2 linked regions of the Lepisosteus oculatus genome follow. The main gene of each other region encodes a partner of the protein of the gene in region 2 in a complex. Links are inferred from orthologs where the notes say so. Each region holds a gene or a part of one and is shown on either strand. Other genes may lie near its edges.

Region 1 (7,575 bases), on a different chromosome or scaffold from region 2:
GATAAAAGACACACAAGAAGCCCATTCTTGAGTTAAGTGGTTCACCAGGATTGAGCTTATCCTCTTCTCTTTAATGTTGGACTCAAAATGAATGAGTACTCCAAGGATAAGACACTAGTCCATTTCTGGGTATTCCTAGCAATAATGGAACCCATTTCACAGAAAATGGGCCCTTGCACACTGGTGTAATCCAATCCAAGGTGGGGACTTAAACCCACAATCCTCTGGTCAGTAACCTGGAGCCTTTCTCGCTGTGTGCTGACAGATGCCACATAAGTGTACGTTGCAGTAATTATTTTGTATAACTGATCTTACCTGCTTGCCAAGTACTACTAGAGAAGCGTTTTCTTTCTTCGCTAGAGCTGCCAGAATCTTAGAGACCTGCAGAGGCCCCAGGTTGTCATAATCCTTCCCAGAAACCTCCACATGGATCCCTCTGTCAGCGCCCATTGCCAGCGCTGTGCGGATGGTTTCCTGGGGAGGACAAGGAACTTTCACAGAAGGAACCTCTGTCTTGTTCTCAGTTCCATGGCATATCCTGTGTGTACAGTCCACACCTGAGCTAGAGTGGCTCAGAAGACCATTTTACATTAACCCCCCTCCACCCTAATGGTACCTTCAGTTCTGAGGGAGCCTGGTTTAGTAGATCAACAGAGATTTATGACAAAGACATCACTTCTATTTTACCATTTATACTGCTCTGCCTGCAGGTTGGTAAACCTACACTATTTCCCCATCTTCAAGCACTCATCATGATGTTAATCACGTTTTTACCTTGACATGCAGCTCTACACGCCAGCTGATACCAGATCAACGGACAAGCAGTGAACAAACCCGCAACCCTTATATAAAATAAAGATGCTGATAACTAACTCTATCTTAAACTTTGTAAAAGTTAAACAATTCAACATGTGAAAATACAGATGCATTAACAAAGCCCAGTCCTGAGAGGCTGTTTTTGGCGGCTTCTAGTGGTGGCCCCATTGCTATTCCAGTTTGTTTGGTATGTAACCACCTGATCCTAGAAGAAAAATAATTATCACTATCATTTTATTTTGCTGATGCCTTAATCCCAGGATTTACAACGATGAAATAAGAGGAACTTCCTCCATTTTTCCTCAAATTCTCTTCGCAAAGGTCTCTCAGAAAGATGCTGAATTACAAGCCACAGCTCACAAGAGAACCAGGACATCAGATTCAAGAACATAGCTGGGTAGCTTGTTACAAACTCCCACAGGCCTTTGTGTAAAGACATACCTCTCCTGTTCTCAGTTTTAAATGTTTTTTTCTTATAAAAGAGGCTAAACACGACTCTCTCACACACAATCAAGATCTCAAAAGTCGCTCCCCTTAAAAAAAAAGTCTGGCAAACATCTGGTTGGTTACAACTTTGCTGGACTCACCCTGACCCCCGCCTGGTCCCACAATAAGAAGACAGGACATGGATGAGGGGGTCAAAGGTCATGAAGTGGTGGCATACCTGAACCTGCTGGGGCCCACAGCTCACGGCTATGACCTCGTTCACCAGCTTCTTCTCCTTCAGCCTCACCGCCTCCTCCACAGCGATTTCACAGAACGGGTTCATGGAGTGCTTCACCCCATCCGTGACAACCCCTGTCCGGTCCGGCTTCACCCGGATCTGCAAAACCAAACCGCCGGTGAAAGGTCAGAGGTCAGAGTCAAGCAAAGAGCCTGGAACACCAGTCTTCTGGGATTAAAAAAAAGCAACATTCTTTTTTTCAGTATCACTTCCGAGTCTGAGTATGGGCTATAAAATAAATAAGGAAACAAATCTCAAGTAAACATAAGGTAAGAAACGTCTAAGATAGTAAACAGAAAAAAGAAGGAAAGTGGGAAGAAAAAGATGAAAGGGGCAAAGAGGAAAGGAGAATAAAGGTAATAACTAAAGAAATAAAATATATTATACCTATGCAAGTGGTAAATTTTACTTTGCACATTTTCTTTGCAGGCTTTGCTGATATTCGTACTTCATCAAATGCAACAGTCTTCAATTTAATCATCACGGTTTTTAATTAAAATATTATTAATATTATTATTGAAACGATCAATCTCAATGTTTTAGTAAATACGGGTTATTTCATTTTTATTCTTAAAATGCACACGTGTAAGTGGAGACATGAATGATAATTGTCTTAAGGCGGACCTTCTCAGCAAAAGCAGCAACACAGCGCATTGTAGAATTGATTTATTAACCACGAGATGAATTTTGGATTGCTTGTTCAGAGCAATACTAGGCTAAATATAGGATGATAATTTCAGAATTGGCAATGCATTTGCTTTGCATAGTTAACGACTGTGCACTAAAATAGTCTCATTTAGACTAAGGTGTTCCTTACCTACTTCTAATCAGAAATGACAAAAAAGTAGTTAACACGGACTACTGAAGAGGCTTAAAATTGCAAACCTTCACCAGCATAACCATACAGTATATATTCTGAAGTAGTTCAGGTGGGTAGCTGAGTCAGCATGCGTAGGCTGCAAAGGAACAAGTAATAGGTTTATTCCGTGCTGAAAAGAGAGTTTCGGCTGTGAAGCCTTCTTTGGATTTAAGGGATATAGTATACTGTATATTATATACAGTATATATTCTGTTCTGTGTCTGAGTTACTTAACTCATTGCCCTGAAAACTTCCATTAACCGTCTGCAACGTGCAATATACAGTATAGCGTTTGAAAACTGAACTCAACTGATAATCGATTTTCATGTCACATTCGTGTGAGATCTGATTACAACTTGCAAGCAATCTGACCTTGTCCCTTTAACGAAACTCCTGCAGGCTAACTGAAGACCAATCGAAAACAAAAAAAAAAATCTCTCCGTAGTCGGAGAGAACTGAATATAATTGTACCTTGACTGCGTAGTCAATAACCCGCTTGACACCAACCAAAACCCGAGATGACATTTTGAACCTGACAAAAACAACTCCTGCACTCTTCTTCGGACAGGAGAAGGGAGACGGACGGATTTCACGGGGACACCGGGAAAGAAAAGGAGGGGAGTGGGGAGGGCTTAGGAACTACCCCCCGGTAAACCAATTATAAAGCAGACTTTCGATTTATAGCCAATGGGAAAGCGTGACGAATATGGAGAAAGCGCAGGTCCGTTTACTGCGGTGCAGAAACTAAAAACAGATCAGTTGAGTTCCTATGTGGCGATTGCAAGAAACTGGGGCAAAGGTTCACAGACTGTTTCAACAGTGTGCTGTGCCAGGATGGACGGTATCTAGCGGGATATTTTCTGCATGTTCTGTTGCAGCAATTTGAGGAAATAAAAATGGTCACAAAGGTGAATTCTGTTTAGTGTACCGTGGCTAAGGATCTGTGCCTGTGGCTGGAAGGTTGCTGGTTCATATCCCACAGCTGGCAGAGAAATCCCACTCTGTCAGACCCTTGAGCTGTATAAATGTCTGACCTGGTGTTCTGAACACCAGCTTCTCTCCCTGTCTGTGTGTCTCATGGAGAGCAAGATGGGGTATGTGAAAAGACAAATTCCTAATACAAGAAATTGTATATGGCTAAGTGATCTTCTTATTTTTGTAATAAGACAATAAACTGATGAGTGACATACTTACTTCTTAACAAGCATATCAAATCCATCCTACTGCATTAGACAAACTGAATTCATGGAACTTTTTTTAATCGAACAATATCTGAAAATTAATACTGTTTGCTACCTCAGCTGTTAAACTAATCACCGAGCTAATAGTTCTTTTATTTAAAAGTACTAACCAATAGGTAACTTCATATTTGTTTCTGTAGTGAACCAAGAACAAGAGAGCATAAATGCGAATTGCTTGACACTGCGTGTTGTAGTAATGAAAACAGAATTCCTGTAAAGGTTGATGGTCGTTGGAACATAATTGTGGTTGGAACATAAATGCTGATGTTGGTTCTCTGGCTTCTTTAAAATATATTTTATAAGATTTATGTCTGCACTTATAATTTCTTGTTAGGTAGATACTATTTAAAATTGGGACTCTAAATTCCAGATCATAATGTGATGTTCAGAAACATTAAAAATATACACCATGACTTGATTATTTATAAACAAATTTTAAAATAAACTACGTGACATCATCATTGAGGTGTGACATCACAAAGTACAGTTAGAAAGCATAGCAACAAGAAAAACACTTTCTAAAATAAATGGAAAGTTCTTGCAGTTTTTAAAATCTAGACGCACCTCTAAGAAAATAAAAAGATCCTTAAAGTCCTTAAAGAAGCTGCAGAAGGTAAGAACATTCAATAACTATCATTAATGAATTATCATGCTGTAATTAAGATTAACAAAGATTATATTTTAAAAATAGTAGTTTAGTAACTACAATTCTACATATAGCAGTCCATTGAAATCCAGCACTTTATGGCTCGTCTTTTCTAAAGTGAGATAGCTGAATTCTTAATATAAGTAATTGATAATGGTTTCAAGAACAGCGTAATGGTAAACTTGAAAGTTTAGGTTTTATGTCCATTAATTCTTACATACAGTATTCTTGTAACGTTGTAGGATGAAAATATACCAGCTATGGGGGCCCTTAACGGCCTTTGAGAAGTCTCTGCTGGGAATCTGGGGAAACACAATCCCAGAGGCGTTCTTCAAGGAAAGGAATCGCAGCATTCAGCCTCCTTCGTACTTCGCCAAAGAGTTCCACCCCCAGCATCCGGCCCCGAAAAAGAACTTTGACCCGACTGTCAGAAGACCCCAGTCTGTCCGGCCCAAACATCAAGAAGTCCCTCGGAACATTCATTCTCTCAACCTGGGCTGCTTTGTGAAATGGGCCTCCGGCTACCCTGACCTCCACTGCAATGATATCTGTGCTATGCTGGGTGAAGACAAGTGCTTTTACAGCTAACCCTTCTAAAGCAGTTGGTCATAAATGTATGTTACCTATACATAATGTCTCAGGGGATTTACATCATACCCAATTCAGAATAATCATTTAATTCTCTTTTTTTATTGTTTGTCAAATGAATCGGTTATGAAAATCAACTTGTGTCCATTTTGCATTTTACTGTTTACATTATGCATTTAAATAGCTTTGCTATGGTTTTCCATGTGCATTTGGTGTGCTTTAAAACCACAAGGAAACATTATAACATTTTTTTTCACCCTGGTAACATACTGTAGGTAATGTGATGGTTAGTAGTCCTGCTTCACAGCTGTTGGGTTTTGGATTAAAGTCCAGATCACACCTTATATCATACCGTATACAAGCAGTACTCAACCAAAACAATATGTAACTATAACTCAATGACCAACAATTCAAAGAATTTTACCTTTTCAGGAAAATTTATAAGCTTTGTGTGGTGGATGATGTAAAAATATCATAAATAAGAGAACTGTGGATTATCAAACGCTAATAAACATATTTTAATTCACTCCAAAATAGTAAGCACAAATGTTGATTTTTTTTTGTAGAGATACATTATCCTGGCAGGTAAATAAAAATACAAAAAAATAACATTTTAATAGATTAAAGAGTTTGCATTTTTTAAAACATAAAGAATTCAACCGAAACTGAATTCACTCATCAACAATCTCTAAATACTCGAAAAACGAATTTTAATTATTCTTGTTCAAGGCGGAAGTTATATTACATCTTACGGGAAATTCAGGCATTATTACCATGAACTCGAGTATCTTCACTTAATTATAGGATTGCTTTACCGTACTATATGGAAATTAACAACACGGGTGGTGACATTCTTGTGTCGTTTATTCTTAATGCACTGCTTTTGTGCAAATACAACATAACAATTTACAAAACTATTTGATATAGGTATTCACAGTTTTAGCCCTCCCCTTTCATAAATCATTTGCAAAGAATATAAAGACAATAATGCATCTGACCGTACCTTGTTTTATATTGAATTTTACCTTCGTTCAAAACTACATTTCCCATAGTGCACTTACAAACGAACAATTGAACGGTTATGCAACATTAGTTCTTCTCAAAAATTTTTGAATGTTTTAGTGTAGACCAGCTCACATATTTTTACTATCGCCGCATGGAGTTAAAAAAAAAAACACCTGTAAACTCTCAGATACATTTTTTAAAAAAAAATCTAGTCCCGGGTGTTACTAACCGAAGCACGGCGCTTCCGCAGTAAAGAAAAATAGCTTGTTTTTAGGTAAAAGATGAACCAAATACAATATTGAATACTGAATAACAGTTATTGCTCTTGGGATGGAGTGTGTAGGTTTTAACAGGCTTAATCCTCCATATATAAAGAATTTCTACCGAGTCATGTACATAACGGTGTGAGCAGAGGATCTGTTTTTAACTCGTCCTTCCTGCTTCTTCTCCTTTCTCCTCTTCCGGCGAGACTCTCGACTGTCAGGTGGCTCTTGCGAAAACCCGGATTGGATCCTGCTGTCAGCTGAGTGACAACGTGATCGCTTGATGAAAGTCTTTTTTTTTAACAGAATCAATGCAGTACAGTGGGAAAACGATTAAAAGAAAGCCAATTCTAAAACAGAAGGTTCATCACAGTTATTGTTTTCTGTGTAGTGCCCGCCAGGTAATTAAACGTTACAAATGCATCAACAATTTTAGCAAAGGGATGAAGTATTTGATCACCCACATATGATGAGACTTGGGGAGAAAATGAAAACACCTCGCTTCTGAATTATCGTGTGATTCAGATTTTATGCCAGCTCGGGCCCTCACACCTGAAGAGGGCTCCACGGCCGAAACTTTGTGTTTTCTTTCTTCATTTTTCAGCATGGAATAAACCTGTTACTTGTTCCCTTTGCAGCCAACGCATGCTGACGCAGCTACCCACCTGAACTTTTAGCTGACCAGATAGATTACTAAAAGCTTCAGCAACCACAAACTATATAGTTTAGCAACTAAATGTGGCTTCTTCTGCACTGTAACTTCTCTGAGGTTCAATGAATGACACTCTTGTTTTAATGATAGCACTTTCATGTTCGATCACACCAGTTCTGCAGTGTGAAGCAATGCTGTCTGTATCGTACAGGACAAATCCATGCTATTTCCTAAAGGGTTGCAGGCAGGGTTATATATTCTGTCAGTCTTGGATATGAACCCAGTTCACAGAGAGACAAATGAAAAATATTGGATGTGCCTCCAAATCGCATTACAGCTCAACTGGAATATAAGGGTTTGATTCCTGTTACCATGATACAAAAAGAGAACCCTGAGCCAGTGAGAAACAAGCACACAGAAAACAAGAACTATATCAGGACAGAGAAGTAGATCATACAGGCATGTCTTTAAAAAAAATAAAGTCACAGAGCAATAGGAGTCCTTTAGTAATTTGTTTTTTAAATTTGGTGCTGTTCAATGTGCAGCTGAAATATAGCTGCATTACAAATAAAATGTTCAGCAGATAAACATTGAAAACACCAGTCCAGAAAAACACACTCTAGTGCGTGGCATGCACAGCACTTAGATTTTGACAGTCAAAGTCAGATCTGCCCATTACCTCAAACCTAAGACATTAGCCAGGTATAAAGTGCTTTCATGGGAAAAGTGCAGAACTAAATAGAGGACACAGATTAGGGGGCATTTAGAGAGAAAATAACTG
Region 2 (7,230 bases):
TTCAATTGCATTTGATCCGATGGTACTGGCGTTACTCTTTTAAATTCTGCACAATTATACTGCGGTATAAAACAATTGTTCCGTGTCATTTTCCATCACACGCAAGTGGTTGTGTGTTACTAGAAAATTCTAGGCATGAATGGTCACTAAGGACACAATTTTATTCCCTCGATGTCTTTGACTGGATTTTTGTTGTAGAAAACAATTTGGAAACGGAACAAATCTGGAATTATTTAGCCCTCACCTGCTTTATTGGAGATGCTTAATGCAATATTATGCATGTCAGTTGTCACCTGAAAGAGTTTCACCTTGTAATATCACAGCACTAACGTAGGCTGCATTCGATATACAGTGCTCTATGTATATTTGGCGCTTCAACTCAAAATTATCTGATACAAATCCATATATTTGTATTGATAAGAATTGTGCAAAAATGAAGCTGTGAATCTTATGTTAACGACAGTGTGAAATTTAAAAAATGCAAGGTAAATGAACATTAAATGCAAGTTCAAGAGAAACATTATCAAGATTTTTTTTAGACACAGAAGTCATCAGAGTGGACCAGTCACCTCTCAGGTGGCTAAGAAGCATTTCATAGCTCTCTTTCTCTCGAACCCGCTGTCAAAAATGTCACATGGCTCTAGGCTTGTTGAACATACTCATGCTGCAACTGTCAGCATGCCTTTTACTGTCTTTTACTGTGATTTTTCACATTGCCTCAATTAGCAACTGAAATACTATTTAACTCTGTCACACTGCTCTACAAGTGAATCCTGTACAGTGTAAGCCTTTTCTTGAATACTTACACACATCAGGGGCTCCTCTGTCATTCGGCCCAAGTATTTTTTCCTCTGCTGATCATTACCTGCAATGATGACTGGCATTTGCTAAAGACAATGAAGAAAACAACTGTTTGGACTGTGTTTAATGGCAAAAATACACATACGGTACACAAACAGACACTGGCAGCTATCTATATACTGTATAGTGATACACGCTGCTGTGCGGTTTCAGTCTGTGGACAACCTAGTGGTATTTCACTTAAAACGCACAGAACAAGTCTCCTTACCCCCAGGGAATTTGCCTCGATGGCTGTCTGAATACCAGTGCAGCCATAAGCGATCTCCTCCGTGATGAGGCAGGAATCAAAAATACCAAGGCCCATGCCACCTGCATCCGACAAGAACGTACGTTACAAAAATACAGAAGAGAAAAAATACTTGGAGTGAGGTTTCCAGCAATTGAGAAGTGAGGAAAGGGAATTAACAGCACCATGTGTATCACATAGATCAAAGAAAACAACAGTTTCCTTTTGGAAAAATGGAAAAGGCAAGACAAGAACATAAGAAATACCACAGTCTTCTGGAATATGAGAGTTCATCAGGCCCAGCTCCCAGGCTCTCTTAATAAGAGGAACAGGATACTACAGGGCAATAGAAAAGAGAGCATAAATTAACCACAGTTGATAGTGCCATTTCCAAGCCAATACAACTGCAACCTAGTTACAATTCAGCTGCTCAGTCTCCTGTCTGTGCAGTTATCTGCACATTAGCAAATGAGGCCTGAGCTCTTTGGAGATGCTGCTTGAATATTAAGACAGGGGAAAGCTTATCTGTCCTTCTAATAATGAGAAGAGGCATTTGAATCACCCTCTTCAGGGGCTGCTGCAAGAGCCTTCCAGTGGACATGACAGATTGCCGTTATGGGTTATTCAAGGTCAGAATGCAAACAATCGCAGGCAGCTATGAAAACAGGCCCGCTTTCAGTCCAGGCCCGAGCGCTCCCCACTCATTAATAATAATAATAATAATAATAATAATAATAATAATTGCTAACACTTATATAGCGCTTTTCTGGACACTCCACTCAAAGCGCTTTACAGGTAATGGGGATCCCCTCCACCACCCCCAGTGTGCAGCCCCACCTGGATGATGCGACGGCAGCCATAGTGCGCCAGAACGCTCACCACACATCAGATAATGTGTGGTGGTAATAATCATTACATTTAACCTACAGCCTCATCAGGCCAGCCGAACCGTTCCGCACGGCAGGATGAGAGAGAAAAGGCAGCACCAAGACCCCGACCAACGGGAGTTAACGACTGGAGGTCTGTACTCTGGCCGAGGGATCAGGCTCCAGGGTGCGTTGCGGCACTTACTTCGCCCGTCCGGTCATAGTGTGGCGCCGCAGGGATGATCTCCTCCCTCGCGAACTTGCGCGCCGTTTCCCTGAATTCCTTCTGCTGATCCGTCAGGTCTGCAGGGGGTAGAACCGGAGTGGTGTTGGCACAGACCGCAGCCGTTCCGCTACACGGGGACGAAGACGCCCGATCTCGGCGCTGAACGGCTTAATATCTTTGCAAAATGAGCCATCCCTTCAGCTATCCACGGGGAAAGGTGGAATCGCTTAAAACACGGCGCACGGCACTCTACTCACCAAAACTAAACCCTCCAACAGCAGCTCTGGGGGCACTTGGGGCGGCTCTGGCTGTAGTGCCCTGGAATCTCACTCCAGCTTGAGCGGTGGCTTTTAGAAGCTACAGATTGGGGGAAAAAAAAAAAACACAGCAGCACAACTGTTACTCCTCGCCCTGCAATTCTTTAGCATAAAAACCCTGAAAGATCCCCCCCCCCCCCCAAAACTTAAAAGATACAGCAACACTTCATCTATTCCCGACCCGATTCGACAAAACTGCACAAGAGCCCCTAGTGTCGAATGAGATCTACCCATCTGTCTGCTTGCAGTAATAATGCTATTAGAGCACCAGAGCCTAACTCAACAGGCAACAGGACAAGCAAGAGGTGAAGGCAGTCCTTTGTAAGCCACACACAGGCGTGGGGACAATCGAGAGACCCCGTTCACCTCACAATTATGTTTGGACTGTGGGAGGAAACAGGAGCACTTGGTGAATAGCCATGCCATCCCGGGAAGAACATGCAAACTCCACACAGAAGATCCCTCGGTCCTCAACCACGCCCCGGACCTGAAGCCGTGAGCGCAGCAGCGCTAACTGCCACGCTGAAAATGAGACATTGTAAATAGAACTACAGCTTCGCCACGTTTAAACCTTTTTATATCCCTCTTTGTACGACTTCGGGATTGGATTATGTTGGGTTATATAACCGCGATAAAACGTTGCTGGCGTTTGTGTCGTCCAGCGCAGGCAAGGGTGATCAGAAACTACCGAGTAACCTCGGCGACAGAGACCGACCATCGCCGCTACAGCTCGTTACAGAACCTGCACGCAACACCTTGTTTTCAACAGCTTAGATTTCAGTTTTGCAGGCAAGATGCCTACATCACATCCGCCATACAGCCCACAATTCTGGACGCCTCCGTTCGCTTCCAAAGTACTGCAATAATAAAATACAACGTACACATTTGGAATTCCGGCAATAAATGCAAGCCACATAATGCGTAGTCCTTAACATTTCCTCTTTGTACGTACATACACTAAAACAACAGCTGCAACAGCTCATGACTACCTCGTTATATAAATCCTACGCAAAGGCATCGTCTTACAAAAAGAGAACCTAGAAACATGCAGCACGGAGGATCTTCGAATGCATTCGCATCTCTGCATATAATGGTCATATCCGAGTAATTAAGGCATATTTTACCTTATTTAAGTGCATCATTTTGACAGCCTGCGCTCCTCGGGACCTTGAACGTTCGAACAACCTTTGCCCCCAAAAGGAACTGTCGTCCAGCCAATCACCGCCGCCCCCTCCGTCACGAGCCCACTCCCAATCGCCTAGGCGACCTTTTACCTAGTTTCAGTCTCCAGGTCCAAAATTAACACCCGGTTTTTAAATATGTTTACTGTTATCACCTGGAGCAAACAAAAAAAAAGAAAGAAAAGAAAATTGCGTAACGCAATTGACTGAAAACATCGACCCCCCCCCCCTTTAAATTATGAAACTGAAGTTTCAAAGTATTCACGTTTTATGAATCGAGGCATGTTTTATATACGGTAATTCCTCTCTCTACGTCCCAAACACTTATTAGAAAGTCCTTATTAAAAAACAGACAATAGCGCTGAAGTGCAATATTAAGGATACATGTTGTACACGCGTGCTGAAGAAAATATTTGGGTTGAACTATAGGAGTCGAGCATGAAAAACAGTATAATAGTATTATTTACGTCCTGAGACTAGGTACTGGTAAAAAAAAAAAGCCAGGTGATTTGAATACAATTAAACAGTGTTGAAACTTGTGAGTCAACAGAAATAGTCTGAGTACATACGCCGGTAACAGCTCGTCACAGATTGTAGTACGGTACTGTGCCTTTTCGCGTATACGCACCAATCCCACTAGACACAGTAGAAACTCCTGGTTCAGTCGCAGCAGTGTCCGAGAAAAGAGGGCTACAGTACATTATTACAGTCCGGCCCCTGTCACTGGTCCTGTCCACCCTATTCAATGGTGCTGTCCCTGGAATAAGCAACAGGAACCGTTCTGACCACACAGTGTTATCTTCAATAATTGTTGCTGTCTTCCAATTATCTAAATGTGCATATATCGATGTCGGTCAGCAGTTAAAACTCTTCTATTAGTTTCCCTGTTTAGCTTTTCTTTCAGCTGAATACGCCTTTTTCATAGCCCTTAATCTGAATATTTTGACAAACAGCGCCACCCTTTTCATTAAAATTCTTTCAATGTTTAGAACACATTTTGAAATACTTTGAGACTCGAGTGTCCTTTCTTTATTAACTGCGGTAAGTGCTCAGAAAGGTAAATGGGTGTCTACTTCAGTCCTCATGGTGCGTTTTTATTTTCTTTAGCTGTTACAGCTTAGCTGTTGTTGGGTAGTTTATGACTAGCTTTTCTTTGTTAGATCAATAAACTAATGCGTTACTTTCTCGACAGATCATTGCGTAGTTCAGTTTTAAAGGACCTTTTACCAAAGTCTTTGTTTTCCACATCAGGCACCACAAAATGACCTGTACACATGATTTTATGAAACACTTGTTAATAAAATCCAATGATATCAACATTACTTGATATCATTGGATACACGTTAAGGGATAGATAGGTGTAGATCTTTACTTTCTTAATTTGAATTGCTTGAAATCTAGGGCAATAAATAGAGGCTTTTTAAATATTTTTATATTCTGTATCTATACAATCACCCCAAGTGCAATCACAAAAACAAGCTACGATGCTCAGCTCCATGGTTTTCATAGGCATCATTCACCCAGTTTGCCCGGTTTGACTAAAGAATTAGCAAACACAGAAACTAAGATAATTACCCAAGACTTTAACAGTCAGCACATCGACATGTGCATATGCATAAACATTCACATATACTGTGGTGCATACTAGATCTTGCCTAGCAATACTGATGTGACAAAGACTGCTAAGTTTTAATAAACATTTAATCCAAACTCCTTTCTTTCCCCAGCACTACAGTATATATACAGTAAGAACTACAACCCCTCATAATTACATTTTTGTAATACAATTTCTCAGCAGTCTCCATGCTTTGTGTTCGTAGTGTAGTGTCAAACAAATGACAAAGTTCAGGTGTCTTTGAAGCAGAAGTCTCTTTATTCATATGCATATGGAAGTCCGGCTTGCAACCTTAAAACAAAAAGAGTTACTATGACACATTCTAAACAAATGATAAGACAGCAACACATGCCAATTAATTATATCTAAGTTGCAGACTAGACAACAGTTAGTTCTTTTCATATTCTGGGCGTACAGCCAGCTTACCAAATACATGCCCCTTATCTTACTGACCAAGGACAGGCAGCATCTTTATATATATTTGAGCCCAAAGCCTACATCAAGCCACTAGACTGCATAGTTTGCAAAAAACTACAAAAACAAGAAATTATATTATTATCTCACTTCCCGGGCAGCTCTCTTATCTTCTTCAGTAGCTATGGCAAATATGATCCACAAAAGTCATTATTTGGAAACAATATTAAACATGGTAAATAAAGGTACAACAATTTTGTAAAAAAAAAAAGGTATTTACAAAATAAAAACGAGTCCCCTGCTGTTTTGGATCCTGATGTGAGGGTATGACTCAGTGATAACTCACTCGTCAAAAATAAGTAGCTGTCTAGTAAGATTTGCCATACATCTTTCTTGAATGGCTCATTTATCATGACCTCTACCAAAGTGGCGCATGATGCAACATAGAGAATTCTCTATTTTTCTGTACACTGACGATCTTTCGTTTTTAAGGAACATCATCTAACAGCTGGACACTGTACTGGTTTTAGCAGAAAATTGAATTTTAACTTGTGTTGATAATTATTAAATGAGCGCAGATCCAGCGACTCTGGCATTCGGATTTACAAGTGGCTTTCGTTGGGATTTCCATCTCAAGGACAGCTGCTCCCACAAGGCTCTGTGTCCTGCCACTTGCCTGTCTGCCAGCAGATTAAGCTGAGTTACAGATCAGCCCGGGCTGGAAAAGAGGCTCTCTGAGGGGCATTTCTCTGGAGAGAAGAACACAGCATCCTTATCATGGATTTCTGTCATTTTCCTAATGAAGAGTGCTGGCTTGTTCTGTGGTATCACCAAATGCCCTTTGTACACAATGGTACGAAAGGACAACAGCAAAAACAAGAACACTCTTCCTGAGAATGATAATCAAAAGTCTTAATAATGGTACCTGCTCTTTATAAAATAATTACCGCAATGGCTAGACTAGGGCAGGAACATTTACCAGGAAAGAATATCTTCAGACAACATTGCAATTTGTGCAAAAATGGTTTGGGAACGCTCCTTCCACCCACAAGAATTAATTAATACAGTTTAAGAAGTTTAAGAGGGCAGGCCATTCAGCCAGTTTAGCTCAGATGTGTTTTTCAGGGCCTAACTGACTTCATCCAGACAGGTCATGAAAGAAACCAGCGCAACAGCTTCAACACAACATGTCTGGGTAGTTTGTTCCAAACCTCCACACCCCTTCGCACAAAATAGGTGCCCCCCTCTCTCGGTTTTAAACACACTCTCCCACAGTTTCCACAGTGTCCTCATGCTCATGTTTCATTGTCTGCTCGGTTGACCTTGCCAGCGTGTTTGAGGGTTTGGAATACGAGAATCAAGTCCCAACCAGGTTCAAAACTGAAAGACATTTCAGGAATTCAGTTCCTTCAGCCCGTCAGTGTAGGACACTTCTTTTGTGCCAAGGAATGTATCTGGTTGTTCTTCTCTTGACAGATTCTAGAGCAACGATAATTATTTTTGTAAGGTGGTGACTGTAACTGT

The links. Proteins that work in one complex are often made in the same cells at the same time.
Region 1: the proteins of acadm (region 2) and etfb are in contact, whole or in part, in a crystal structure (PDB 2A1T), measured with the Homo sapiens proteins. The link is inferred for Lepisosteus oculatus from reciprocal best matches to the Homo sapiens genes ACADM and ETFB. Residues at the interface, in NP_000007.1 of Homo sapiens: Glu43, Gln44, Lys46, Glu47, Phe48, Thr51, Lys54, Phe55, Glu58, Glu59, Arg80, Glu83, Leu84, Gly85, Leu86, Leu98, Leu100, Ile108; in NP_001976.1 of Homo sapiens: Glu73, Arg76, Thr77, Tyr192, Ala193, Thr194, Leu195, Pro196, Ile198, Met199, Lys202.

What each region holds. Positions count from the first base shown.
Region 1 is NC_090722.1:8,296,375-8,303,949, forward strand, and holds the start of etfb (electron transfer flavoprotein subunit beta), read right to left. Parts: upstream 3,010-7,575; 5' UTR 2,925-3,009; coding exon 2,871-2,924; intron 1,640-2,870; coding exon 1,481-1,639; intron 475-1,480; coding exon 316-474; intron 1-315. UniProt on the Homo sapiens protein: Heterodimeric electron transfer flavoprotein that accepts electrons from several mitochondrial dehydrogenases, including acyl-CoA dehydrogenases, glutaryl-CoA and sarcosine dehydrogenase.
Region 2 is NC_090704.1:4,144,975-4,152,204, forward strand, and holds the start of acadm (medium-chain specific acyl-CoA dehydrogenase, mitochondrial), read right to left. Parts: upstream 3,017-7,230; 5' UTR 2,937-3,016; coding exon 2,868-2,936; intron 2,537-2,867; coding exon 2,437-2,536; intron 2,257-2,436; coding exon 2,159-2,256; intron 1,424-2,158; coding exon 1,354-1,423; intron 1,171-1,353; coding exon 1,070-1,170; intron 888-1,069; coding exon 807-887; intron 1-806. UniProt on the Homo sapiens protein: Medium-chain specific acyl-CoA dehydrogenase is one of the acyl-CoA dehydrogenases that catalyze the first step of mitochondrial fatty acid beta-oxidation, an aerobic process breaking down fatty acids into acetyl-CoA and allowing the production of energy from fats.